3 linked regions of the Oryzias latipes genome follow. The protein of the gene in region 2 purifies or fractionates together with the protein of the main gene of each other region. This does not show direct contact. Links are inferred from orthologs where the notes say so. Each region holds a gene or a part of one and is shown on either strand. Other genes may lie near its edges. The genes, in order: tmem231, tctn2 and tctn3.

Region 1 (4,394 bases), on a different chromosome or scaffold from region 2:
TGAGGTGAGAATAAAATCTGTGAAGCAGCAACAACTTTCTGGGTTCATTTGGTTGAAACGCTTGCCTGTATAGCAAAAATGTGATGTGATTTAAGAACAAACCTTATATTTCAAAAGGGCCAAAGATCCCAGCGGGCCAGTAAGTATTCTAAGTGGACTTGAGTTTAAAAAAAAAACTCGTTTCTCACAGTGTTAACACCTTATTGGTCATATTTTCTTCAAAAACTGTGTGTGGATCTACAGAAGTACTTTCTCTTTGTCTGTACTCTGATCATTTTTAGGTAAATGGGTTTGTGTGTAAACGCACAGCAACATACTTTTCTGGTAATAGATATTTGTCTTAAAGAAATATTTTAGACACATTAAGGTTTTGGTTTAAAGTATAGAAACAAAAAGCATGGACCAGCTTTTCATCAGGGCTAATCAATGAAAGATTGCCATGGCAACAGGAGCAATGCTTTGAAATGCAGCTTACACAATGACATAGGAATGTGGTTCTTAAGACTTGAAAAAGTGTCACACATATCAGTGATACACAAATGTGTTCTCACAGAGACGGCAGGGATCCGCAGGTTGGGCCCCAGCATGTTGTTGAGGTGTGGGAAGGTACTCCAGGCCACATAGTCCCCTTGAGTGCCGGTGGCTGCAACCATCAGAGTCTGGTACTGAAACCTCACAACCGGCTGTTCTTCATACGTGCTTCGCTTTAACCAGAAACCTGAAATTGAAAAAACAAAACTATAAGGTTTTAGGAACTTTTTGACGTTGAGATTTCTTCTAATTCTATGTTACCATCAAACCAAAAACCAAACATAAAATAGCATAAGATTTCTATTAGAATCCTTCAGCCAAACTTCCCACAATCTCCTATAGAATTTGCTTCATTTTTTTTTTTTGGAATGGAATTTGCTTCTTGACAAGGTTTGTCATGCAGAAAACATGTCCATCTGATGTACCCAGAATTCAACAACTTTTCTGACTTTTCCATGGCATTTTTTACATTTGAACCCATTTTTAAAAATTACAGAAGACGTTTTAAAAGCATAATTCATCATTTACCAAATATGTTCGAATAATTCAGTTCAAAATAGCAGCATTTTTGTCACATTTGTTCCACAGCATTAATAAGGGCATTTTTGAATGGTAATATGGGTTACTGTTGTATTACAAGCAAAGGCACTAATGTGCAATGAAAGCCAGCATGAAAATAACACAACGTAAATTCTGTTCCTGTAATGGATTTGAAACATTCAAATCAAATAAAACTTTATTTATAGAGCAGTTTTTCCAACTTGAGTTACTTAAAGTGTTTTACATAAAAACATAATCCAATTTTAAAAAACCAAAAGCAAGACAAAAAATATGTATACAATGCATAAAATGCCCCCCGCCGCACACACACATGCACGCACACATGCACGCACACTATAGTAGTGCATCAAATGATTCACTAAAATGATGCAAAGTAGAAAGTAGAAATCCGGCTTTGTGGGGAAATTATAAACCGTCCTCACAAGTGAGCCCCACCCAAGTTCACAGAATACACTACAGGACTCCCCAGATGCAAGAACCAGACCCAGAAGATCCCACTGCAGCGATCCCCATTCACTGAAAAGGCTCGGCCACCTATTTGGAAGAAAATTGTAAACATGTCAAAAAAAAAAAAGTTTGGTAAAATTTAATAGGTGTGGGATTATAAATTCACTTCTTTCCCACCCAATTAATCAAACTCTATTTAAAAAACATAATATTTTATGGATTCAATGTATTGCACACGTGTGTACTGTATGAATAGGTGTAGATATACCTATTTATGATACATTGTAATGTCAAGTGTATAAAAACATTTTCTGTCATTTTATTTTTCTCAAACCAGTTTAGGAACTAATATTTTAAAATGATACTATATATACATACACACATATATATATGTATATATTTTGTTTTATTTTAGAGCTGAAAGCTGCATGAAATCCATCAATCAAATCAAAACACATCCAACAGATTTAAGGCTAATCTTTCAACAGACACAAATGGATTTAGTCATTTTGAAAACAACTCATATCTAGACTTAAAGCAAAAGTTGTAAAAACTTGGGTTATTTAATATAAAAGCTTATTCATATGCATTCAAAGAGAATAGTTGTTGTCTAAATCAAATAAATCTGAGTAAAAATGGAATGAAATATTGCTGAAATGTTATTAATTTGTTATTTTTACTGGACTAATAAAACTTTATTTAAAAGGCCCTGGCTTTACTCATAGGCTTTGTAACGTGTAAAGTAATATAGATAATAAAAATCCTTTTTTTATATTCTAGCATAAACAAAGACTTTAACAAAAACATAATATATTCTTTTGTTCAAAATGAAATAAATGGACACTTTAAAGCCTCGATATATATACTGTACCTTGACTCCTATAAGCAACAAGCAGAGGTGGGATGTAGGTTAGGCACAAAACAACAACCAGGAACAGCGTAGCCTTTGTGCAAACACTGGTTTTGTACCGAATTACAGCCGGATGAGAGTACACTTCGTAGAAAGCCATACGTTCGGTGTAAAGACAGCTAGCTGTAAGGCTACAGCTGGAGATGCTAACCTAGTAGCGGACTAAATGATTACCGGCGTAAAAATGTCGATACTACCTAAACTGGTCGTTAAGAAACTCCAAAAAATCTTCCTCTGGATTCTAAACGCCAGTAAATTCATATTTTTCTGATAACTTTTCGCGTTGAAATGCTATTTTGCTAGCCCCTGCAACATGTAAGGAAACGAGCCCCCCGCCATATTTCTGCAGCGTCCCTCGGTTTCCATGGCTACCATGGTTCAGGATGCATTCATGAACTGTGGGGAATGCTGAAACTCTTCTGTGGTCCTGAAATTAAGTAAAAGCACAAAAGTAGTTATTTCATTTCATGCCTGGAAAATTCCCATATATTATTATCTTTTTACGTTGTTATGGGAACTATTAATTTTAAATAAAAGCTCAAATAAAAGCATTAAAATTTTTTATACAATTGTGTTTCTAATAATAAATGCCCATGACCGTTCTAAGGCATTTCAATGTATCATTTTTGTTTCATTGTTTATTCAGTCTGACTGTATTAATTTTGTATTTCTTTGGTGTTGTTTTCATTAAACTAGAAGGATATTAATGTAGAAACTAGATATTAATGCGTGTCTGTCAACAGCCCCAACTACAAGGATTTTTTTGGACCGAGCACTGCTGGGCGCACTTGAACGCACCAGGAGCACCAACAGCCAGACGGTGACGTCACCTCTCCGCGAGACGGACAGCTGAGCAACAGAAGCTCTTTGTTGACGTTTTGTTTTGGTCGCTTTGGGCAGGATTTCTGCAAGTTTGAACCCCCAACAGGGTTAGCTGATCGTGAAGCCCGCCTTTCGCCCCTGCCGTCACGCATCAGTGCGGGAATCCAGCAAAGATGAAATGGATGTTTAAAGAGGACCATTCCCTCGGTAAAAAGGGTTTGGGTTGTTGTTATGAAACCAGAGAGAGATGTCCTCTTTTCATGTCGCGTGTTTTTCCTTTTTGCTCCGCGGACTGTGTGTCCTTCGATGTGGCTCCACCACCCATCACAGACACACTAACGCGGGGTTTTCGCAGGAGCCTGCCGGAAATCGATCCTGCTTAGCTTGGCATGATCATGCTAACACGCATTTGCTGCAGGTTGTTTAGGATCACCTCAAGAGAAACGCCATTTAAAGCATTGCATCATCATCTAGTATTGCTTTAATTTCAATATTTTGCATGCATTACTTAAAAAAGTATGGTGGATTAAAAAAAAACAACCTTTTTTTTAATCTATTTTTACTGTTTTTTTCTATTAGGCCTAGTTTGTGTTATATAAGATCCTTCTGTGAAGTTTTGTCTTGTCATTCTCATGGTAATTGGATAACCTTGAGGACTCTTTTTTTTTTAAAGAAGCACCTCTGAAGATAGAACTTTTATCTGGGCTAATGAACCTAGATGGAGTCCTCCCCTCACTCACTCACTCCTCCCATCCTCCCTGCACATCCATGTGTCTGAAATGAATTTGCATGAAGATGTTGTACTATTCCTCTGAAACAGAGGATCATGAGTGGGAAACATACACTTCCCCCATCTTGTGTTGTGCTTGTTCAAGGCTGAAGACAGGAAATCCCCAGAGGACGCACTGATCCCTTTAATCTCTGACTTCCTGTTTGTTTGCTGTCTCTTTCCTCAGAGCACCGATGTGTGGAGTCAGCCAAAATACGCAACAAATACCCGGACAGAGTACCGGTGAGTTGTGGGGGCTGGGTGCTTTTATCGGAAATGGAAATGCAGAGATGATCAGAGGGAATCAATACCGAAATCTCTGACATCCAACCAGCCTGGATGCTTATGTATGAT
Region 2 (4,394 bases):
TCAATCCTCTGAAAACTCGCCTGACTGGTTTCCATTTTTATGTGTCAACTCTCCACCTGAAAACAACCCTTTCCTCGGCTTCTTTTACCACGGAAGCACAAAGTGAGAAAGAAATAAAATTCCCTCACAAAACCATTTATTCTGTCATATGTAGTGTCATATTTTCATCACATTTTTGTCTTTTGGTTGTAATATCTCAAGGGAGTCAGTGCTTGGCCCATCCTTCCAAAAAGCTGTGTCTCCAGCTGTCGCATCAGCTAGTCCTTATGTTCAAGAAAGCCCACTTATCCAGTTAGATGGACAGTTTTTTGTTATACCTCAGGTAAGTTGTCTGTAAGTTTGTTTAGAACGATTGTCCTTTTAAACGATGGTTGATGTGGTTTGTTGGCAGAGCTTTAAAGCTCAACAGATGGGTTTTTGCTGCACAGGTCATCCTGGGGCGATGTGGAAGCAACACTCCCGTAGCATTTTTGAGAAATTTCAAAGTGGAATGTGTAACCCTGCTCCACTCTTGTCCAACGGGATTTCCGTTGCAGACACAATCGGCAGAACTGACCAGTCAAGTCATGGATGGGCAAGGCGGTGAGTTTTTTGTGTGCTAACCACCCTGTAGTTTTGCTTCAATGTTTTCTGAAACTTTTCTGTTGCTTCAGGAGTTGTTGAAGTGGATGTAGCTGAAGAAGTGGTCTCTGATGTAGGTCCATTTATCACCAAAAGCATCACAGTTCCTTCTGAAGGTATTTAGATGATAACATAGATGGACAATAATGCAGATTTTCAGTAAATTTATAATCAAGTTTGCTCATATTTTCTGAAGAAAAGATTCTGGTGTGTGAGAATGTGACCATATCGCTGGATTACAAGTTCTATTGGAAAGCAAATGGCCTCACAGGAATCGCACTGACACGCACCATTGGGACCATCATCTCAAATACAAGCGGTAAGTGCCGGTAATCCCCATGCAGAACTTTGTCCAGCAGGAGCCAAAATATATTATTTAAATGAATTAGTGACACATTTTGTTTTGTGTTTCAAACAGTGGAGTTAAGAACGAGATATTCTGCTGTGTTTTTAAACGGTAATTCTATGGCTGAGCCTGTGTCAGGGAACCCAGGTAAGGATGGAGATGAGGCTTTGTTCTTAAAAATGCACTGTAAAAAAAACTAAAGGATGTTTTACTTGACAGGTTATCAGGTGGGGAGGCCTGTTATTGCTGGAATCATAGACAACGACACATCCTCAATGCAAAAAACCTACATTAATGTTTGGAAACCAGGTTACACTTTCATACAAATAATTACAACTCACTTTTAACCCAAAACTGAATGCATTTCACTCAACATTACAGAAGATTAACTGCTGTTCTCTGATCTGTCTGCCAGTTCATGATGGGCTCTGTTCCAGTGCTGAGAGGGAGGCAGTTCTGTTTGGGAAGAATTACACATCTGGATGCCTGCTGCCTGTTGTCACAAATAATCTGACTCAGTGTAATCTATTGAGGTCAGTATGGTGTCATGATTTATTTACAGAACATTTGTGAAAAAGATAAATATCTTTGTGTTTATCTGTGAAGTGAGAATTGTATTCTTTGAGTCATTGAGGTCCAAAAAGCTGGAGCTTTACTTTAGTCAAAAATAATTTCTGATTTTAATGTTTTTGCCCTTTTATTCTGTTTAAAAAGGTAGGTCAATGTATTAGACCCATTCTAATAGTGTACTAGACTAAGTGCGTGACTCCATGGCCTTCTGTGACCTCGGTTTAATTTTTTTCAATTATGTGGTGCCAGTTCACAGACAAAAACATCTCAGAACACCATACAAAGAAAGCAAACAGACTGGAAAAAAATAAATCAAATCAGATAAGTCTGTTATAATTTAATCTAGTTTAATTTGAGTCAATTTATTCTAACTGTATCAAGATGAAGAACTTGGCTGAGGACATAAGGATCTAGCTTGGACTGCTCATAGAACATGAAGCAATAATGGAGATAAAATAAGATACCAGAAAGTGAAGATCTTCAGAGGTAAAATGGAAACAATGAGAGAAAAGCCAGTACTTACTTGAAGATTTTCAGAACACTAAAAGGCTGATAGTTTAACTGCAGAAGCTAAAAAAAAAGTCAAACGTGTACATTAATAGCAGAGCTGAGACAAATGAGTGCATCTAATGTTTCTGAATTTTAGAGAAACGGTCTTTAAGCTACAAGAAGGTTTGACTGCTGCTGCATACGTGGCAAAGCGTGGAAACCCAGATCTTTTTACCATGACAGATTGGCTGAACATTAGCTGTAAGTATATTGGGCCAGAAAACATCATTCAAAATTGATCACTTGTCTTTCTATTATCAATTATAATTGTTTTATTTATTTGTAATATAAGTGTACAGTCATGATCTTGCTAACTCTTAACCTAGTGGTAAGCTTGAACTCAAGCGATGCTGCAGAGGACACGTCCAGTGAATGCAGGGCGGTTCCATCCCATGTCCACGTGCAGGTTTGGACTCTTGTCACTGGGTTTGTAGGAAGCATACCTCAAAGGGAAATCTTTGCTTTGCAAGTCAGGTTTGTATCAGATGCTTACTCAAATGCAAACTGAGCTTGAAAGTACATCTTAACTCCTACTTTTTACTACAGTGTTCACGTCTTGTTTTTCATGTAGCCTTTTGTGTTTTTTTTAGCTATGGTTTGTCCACCTGGTCATTGGACTGTGGAGGAGGCAATGGGTCTTTCTGTGAAGAAAGTCAGTTGTTGTCGATCACCTCTTCAGTCACCTTCATTGACATTCCCTACAACACAGGGCCACCAAAAAGCAGGTGAATGATTTTGATAATGACTTATAAGTGCAATAAAAGTTATTCTGTTTTTCTGCGTGTTTCTATTGTTTTGTTGTTTATTTGATCTTTTCCACTTAATATGTTGTCCATGCTGATGTAATTGCTGCTGCAAATGGTTTGGTTTTTCTATCATCGAACTAATAGTGGAGTTTCTATTCTTACCTTATGTTAAATAGACTTTAACTTGTGTTGCTTTCCGTTTATTTTTTATATCATTTAGGTTTCAGATCAACTTTACAGAATATGACTGTGACAGGAATGATGTGTGCTGGCCCGAGCTCGCTTTTCCTTTCACCAGATATTACACGGGTATGATTATTCATGGAAATATACTTTAACACATTAAATAATTATTTCGCACAAATCAATTTGCTTTTCTGATAGCTAAAATGCAAGGAACAGAACATTTGTGAGCTGAGCAAGACACTCTTGTAGATTTCTAAAGTAAATCAGTATTTATTGTAACAAGATCGGGATAATCGAATTGGTAAATACAGTGTTAGACTTACTAACATTAACGTATTAACATGTACTGCTAATCTCTGTCACAGGTGAGCCGTATTCTCTGGCATTGGCAAAGGGTTTGATCTTGGTTTTCTTCTTCATCACGGCCTCAATTCTTGGATCACCATGGAGGAAAATCAGACAGGCATGGCACAGTGCTGCCTTCTGAAACCTGTTCTTGAAAACAATGACAAATTTTGTACATTTTTATTAATTGAAAGTGGTATACAAACTGTTTTTCCTTTGAATTTTAAAAAATAATTTGTTTTAATTAAGAATTTTACTTAATAAAATCACTATTTTTTGAATAATTACTGTGTCATACTTTTATTGGTAATGGACTTGGCAAATTAGTTGCTACTCCTGTCAATGATTCAATTTTTTTACAGTCTTCATAAATGTGTTTATTTTATACGTATTCTTTCTGACATCTGACATAGTACTAGTCATTTTATAGTTCAATTTCTTGTTGGTACTGGAGTTTAAATGTTCAGTGCCTCTCCTAAAGGCACACATAACAGATTTTACAAACAACGCTTAAAAAAAAAAATTCTGTTTAAAGTTTATAATTCAATTCAGTTTACAGTCTTTTTGACATCTAAACCAAAACTGGATTAGAGCAGAGAATTCTACCCAATCCTATTGGCTGATCTTCCAGTGAATCTTTTTTCCTGAGTAAATGTGTTGTCATCTATAGATGCTTAAAGCAATAAAATATCCAACATTTCTTACAAGCGAAGAAATGTTGGATATTTTAGAATAACTTTTAGTAACTTGTATCTAGACTTGTCTTGTAATCTTTTGGCGGCTCATGCCTGCTGAGGTTAAAGTCACTGGACTAAATTAATTATAGATTTTATTACCTCCGCCTCTAAAGAATGCTGCCTTTTTAGTCATCTTTATCTGTAAATCAATAGTGCCATTCACTTAAACATACTTTATTAAAGTAAAATATGTTGTACTTTTATAGTTGGTGCCTTTTTATTGCACTGTTAAACTTATTGTGTGGCAGACTGACCTCAATATATGATGGATCAATCTTGACATTTTCCTTTTTC
Region 3 (4,394 bases), on a different chromosome or scaffold from region 2:
AAGTACAAAAAATGCATGCAAAGCTGTATTTTCATGACATTAATTATGACAGTAATTACATTAATGTGTTGTGAATTATTGTTACTTATGTTGATGTTGTTCTTTTTTATCAATATTTTTTAAATGTGTCTTTTAGAAAAACAAGAGAGAGGACAAAAAGGTCAAAGGAGTTTGTGAAATAACATAAAAAAGGGGTTTAAATACCCCCCCCCCCATAAATAAAAAAGTTGTCTGATTCCCTTTGTTTTTGTTTAACAATTTCGTTTTTTTTTTAAGTGTGTTTTTTCCAGACAAAGAACATTAAACCTATCCCAATAAAGATTTATACAACGGGAAAAATGGATTAACAACTGTCGGTGCTTTTTGGACCTTTGGGACCAGGTTCCAATGCACTTCACTTTAAAAAAAATACTTTTAGACATGAGAGGAGCCAAAACATAATAACAGGGTAAAAAATTATGTTGGTACTAAATACTGATTGAGCTCAATTGTAGGATACATTGTCATATTGTGTCTTTTTCTTTAATAGCATTTACAGTTTTTAGGAAAACGTTTAGCTTTTATTAACAATTATTTATGTATAAGTTAGTAGGACACAGTATTTATTTTCAATATGAGATGAATCAAGTAATGCTGTATCAAATTTTACCTTTTCAAATCCAGATGTCTGAATACTTCTTTATTGCATTGCCCAGTTTGAACATCTCCACTCGTCCACATCTGAGAACCTTCCAGTTTGAGCTCTCCTTGTTTTACTTGGCTTGCACCGATGCAGCTCGAACAGAACATTTTTGCAAAAGATAGAGCAGTCATAAGAATTCCATTAATAAAACATCAGTTTGAAGCCATTAAAGATTAAAAGATAAATAGTGAAAATACTTGGAATTGAGGCCATACCTTCTATGTGTTTAAAAGCTGAGGAAAAGCAGAAAGATGGAAGAATTGAATGTCTTGCTCTTCTAACACACTGATTATTGTTCATGTTATGTCTACCTTTGAAAAATAGCACAATATATAGCTGGACGTCACTCTAAAATGGATAGTGGCCGATGCAATAACTGTAAAACAGAAAATGTTCATGTTAATTTACGACACAAGCTAGTTTTTTTGTCCATCCTTTTCAAAAAACTTTTATTTGACTCAGTTTAGATGTAGTTTTGTTAAGTGTTTGTGTCAAGTCTGTTGACATCTCAAGTCCTTGAGCTGAGGGTACAGAGCCCTGGACATGGCACTCAAAAAAATAAATAAATAGTTCCCTCAAATTAGCATTTTGAATGCAAAAATTAGTATTTTTTATGCAAAAAAATGCTAATAATATATTACGTTTTGCGCACAACATTTTAAATTGGGGAAACAATCATTTATTTTTATTTGTATCATTTATCTTTCAATTTCCTGTCTTGGGCTCCTTACAGGGGAAGGTTTCCAGTGGTGGGGAACAAGAACAGAAAAAAAGGATGGGGGGAAAAAAGGTAAAGATTTGTAAAAAGGTTAAAAGTGACTTGTAAAGAGAAGTTGAACAAAGAAGAAATTGTTTTGAAAAAGAAGTTTAAATGACCTAAATAGTTGTTTTTTTCCGGAGGACATTAAAAAACAGATAATATGGGCTGCATATATATTAACATGGTGAAGTAAAAGGACAATTTATCAAGATTTTGGAAAGCTTTGAAATAATGAAAAGCTCCTATTAATCATGTCATTTACCACTAACTGAAGGCTTTTGTTTATTGATCAGAAACGCACATGTTCGTCTATTGTAGGCGATTTACGGTAGCGAGGTCCTGAAACCGGAAGTCTTCATGACAACTTCCTTAGCAACGAGACAAAATAAGGGTGTTTGGCTAAGTAGCTTACTGAAAGGTTTTCAGATTTTCGGGAATTTTAACTATTTGATATTTAAATCAGTAATGATTAAAAGTAGCAGCAATATTATATATATACATTTACAATTTTAGATAACTGCGCCATGTCTCTAGTGGCGAAATGAACCTCTGTTTATTCCCCATATGTGTTGTTTTGTGTGCACGTTTACTTCACGCGGCCACGGAGCTTGGACTAGCTTCTGCTGTGACTAACACCCCAACAAATGTGGAGCCTCTCAGCGCAGCTACTCCAGCTCCGGGCGGGTCTGGAACCACGGAGTCCGTCACAGCCGGACTCACGGAGGGGGTGTCACCGCAACCCACTCCAGACTCCACGGTGACGGTAACGTCCACGCTGTCCGTGTCTGAGTCAGCTTTCACCGGGGCTCCAACCGCGACCACCGTCCAGAGCACAACTCAGCCTGCTTTACAGGGTAACCAAGTTGCAACGATGTGCAAGAAGCCCCAAACCTCTTTGGCTTTGAGTAAAATGCTAACTATTTAAATATTGAATGGTTTGGGAGTTTAGGTTCCTTTTTTTAGTTACAGTTACTTAGATGCTGTCATTTACATTAAGATTTCTAACATCATGTCAGCTTACTTGATGGTAAAAAGTTTACTTCACCGTGTCAGAAATGTTTACATCTGTCTGCTGTTCAGAGGTAAAGTTAATTTCATTTAAATGTAACCTATAGATTTCTTAAAGACATTGGATTTATATTTATATTTGACAGTAAGTAGAGAAAAAGCGCACTATCATGACAGAAAATCCCATATTTGACTTGGCTTTCTTTTATTTTTGGCTCAACTAAATCCACTACAGCAGGATCCTATTTGACATGGGTGTATTTTATTTTGAAAGGAACTTGTCTGTGCTGCTGTCATAGAAGTTAAAATAAGAACATAGCACTATTATAATTCAATGATCGTAAATGTTAAAAGCTAAATTTGATAAATGACCACAAAAACATCAATAAAGTCTATTTTTCTATAGGATTTCTAAACGTTGCGGCTCTCGCTGTTTCAGGAAGAAACTGAACCAAATGGCTCTTTTGCTGTTAGAGGTTGCAGAATTTCTGCCCAAAGCAGAGCAAAGGCAGAGAAATTCAAAGGCCTTTGGAGAATTTGAGGCTGGAAATGGCTGCTAAAATACCTATTTCCATCTACAAGTTTGAATAGAAATCATACATTTAATAATTTTTCTATTCATAAAGCAAATTTAAAAAAATAAAACATTTCTACTGAATGAAGTTGCAGTATTGATTGACAGAATTAGGATTTTTTATGTTAAAAACAAATACTAAACAGGTTTGCATTAATAAATACAACATATTAGTTTAATTAAAAAATCGCCAAATTTGGTTGATTTATTTCGTATTTTCGAAGTGCGAATCGATTTAATTAGTCAACATTTTTACGCTTTTAGTGTAGACAGTTTTTAAAACTATTTAAATCACAATAAAATAAAATAAATTCAAACAAGAATCTCAAAAATATCAGTACAAAAAGAAATCAGAGAAATAAAAGAAAAATTTAAGACAATTTTGCTTTGACAAAATAAAACAAATTTTTTGCCATCTATGCTGAATTATTTAAACTCAAATCCTGTCCCTTAAATGTTTAAATCAGGAGGTTTTTTTTTTGCTATTTTGAAATAAAAAAAAAAAAAGTAAAAATACTGAAGTCTTGCAAAGATATGAATAAAACACGCTTTCCCATTGAATTAGTTCTTGTTTTTATTTTCTCAGGTTGTCTTTGTGACCTGACAACAGATTTCTGTGACATTGGCTGCTGTTGTGACACCACAGATTGTGGTGTTGCCAACTTGAGCTCCGTCTTCCGTGGATGCCCACAAGCAGTCACGTAGGCGTTTATTTTCTCCAAGTCCTAGATGGTTCATCTTGGAGACGTGATCACGTTTCATTTGTTTTATTTCCCAGTCTAGGAGTCTGCATTGAGAAATGGCTCATGTTCAAAGCCAACATGGATTCTCGTCTCGTCACTGTGACCGACTCCTTCTTCTGTGTCCAAAATGACAGTTAGTAAACTGAATATAAAGCAAAATAAATGTACATCTATTTAAAAAAATGCAAGAAATAAGGTTTACCCACCAGCACAAAATATTTTTCCTCCCAGCAGATGTTCCTCCTAAGTCTGTCCCAGCAGTTAGTGGACGTCCAGTTTTAGGAAACTCCTACCACTTCTCAGCTCCAGGTCAAACGTTCATCAGTCATGAAAGAGATTTTTACCGGGTAATCGCATAATGAAAGGTTTTTACTCACTTATAATAAGTCAGCCTTAAGGATGCGTTGATTATTTGGGACATGGTTTTGCAGGTTGATGACGTTATCCAGACGTATTTCCTGGACTCTTCTGTGCGAAGCGTCCTCCGTCAGCCTTCTGCGGGGACGGTGTCGACACTCTGCATCAACCGAAACCCTGCAAGTGAGTTCACAAAGCAAAGGTGTTTATTAAAAGGGGGTCAATTCACATAGTTTTCTGCAAGAGAAGCTACAATCTGACTGTTTTAAA

Evidence for each region.
Region 1: the proteins of tctn2 (region 2) and tmem231 purify together in Homo sapiens (affinity purification with mass spectrometry; 3 studies listed by BioGRID and IntAct, counting the BioPlex papers as one, with this or other methods). This does not show direct contact. The link is inferred for Oryzias latipes from reciprocal best matches to the Homo sapiens genes TCTN2 and TMEM231.
Region 3: the proteins of tctn2 (region 2) and tctn3 purify together in Homo sapiens (affinity purification with mass spectrometry; 3 studies listed by BioGRID and IntAct, with this or other methods). This does not show direct contact. The link is inferred for Oryzias latipes from reciprocal best matches to the Homo sapiens genes TCTN2 and TCTN3.

Annotation. Positions count from the first base shown.
Region 1 is NC_019864.2:27,556,914-27,561,307, reverse strand, and holds the start of tmem231 (transmembrane protein 231), read right to left. Parts: upstream 2,829-4,394; 5' UTR 2,550-2,828; coding exon 2,411-2,549; intron 719-2,410; coding exon 552-718; intron 1-551. Other genes in the region: gamma-aminobutyric acid receptor-associated protein-like 2, read left to right, coding at 3,445-3,478, 4,228-4,283. UniProt on the Homo sapiens protein: Transmembrane component of the tectonic-like complex, a complex localized at the transition zone of primary cilia and acting as a barrier that prevents diffusion of transmembrane proteins between the cilia and plasma membranes.
Region 2 is NC_019876.2:4,345,547-4,349,940, forward strand, and holds the end of tctn2 (tectonic-2), read left to right. Parts: coding exon 1-102; intron 103-201; coding exon 202-322; intron 323-428; coding exon 429-582; intron 583-653; coding exon 654-737; intron 738-817; coding exon 818-940; intron 941-1,039; coding exon 1,040-1,114; intron 1,115-1,186; coding exon 1,187-1,276; intron 1,277-1,382; coding exon 1,383-1,500; intron 1,501-2,183; coding exon 2,184-2,287; intron 2,288-2,412; coding exon 2,413-2,560; intron 2,561-2,676; coding exon 2,677-2,811; intron 2,812-3,052; coding exon 3,053-3,141; intron 3,142-3,383; coding exon 3,384-3,505; 3' UTR 3,506-3,647; downstream 3,648-4,394.
Region 3 is NC_019877.2:7,548,568-7,552,961, forward strand, and holds the start of tctn3 (tectonic-3), read left to right. Parts: upstream 1-1,656; 5' UTR 1,657-1,983; coding exon 1,984-2,296; intron 2,297-3,610; coding exon 3,611-3,725; intron 3,726-3,802; coding exon 3,803-3,900; intron 3,901-3,998; coding exon 3,999-4,114; intron 4,115-4,198; coding exon 4,199-4,307; intron 4,308-4,394.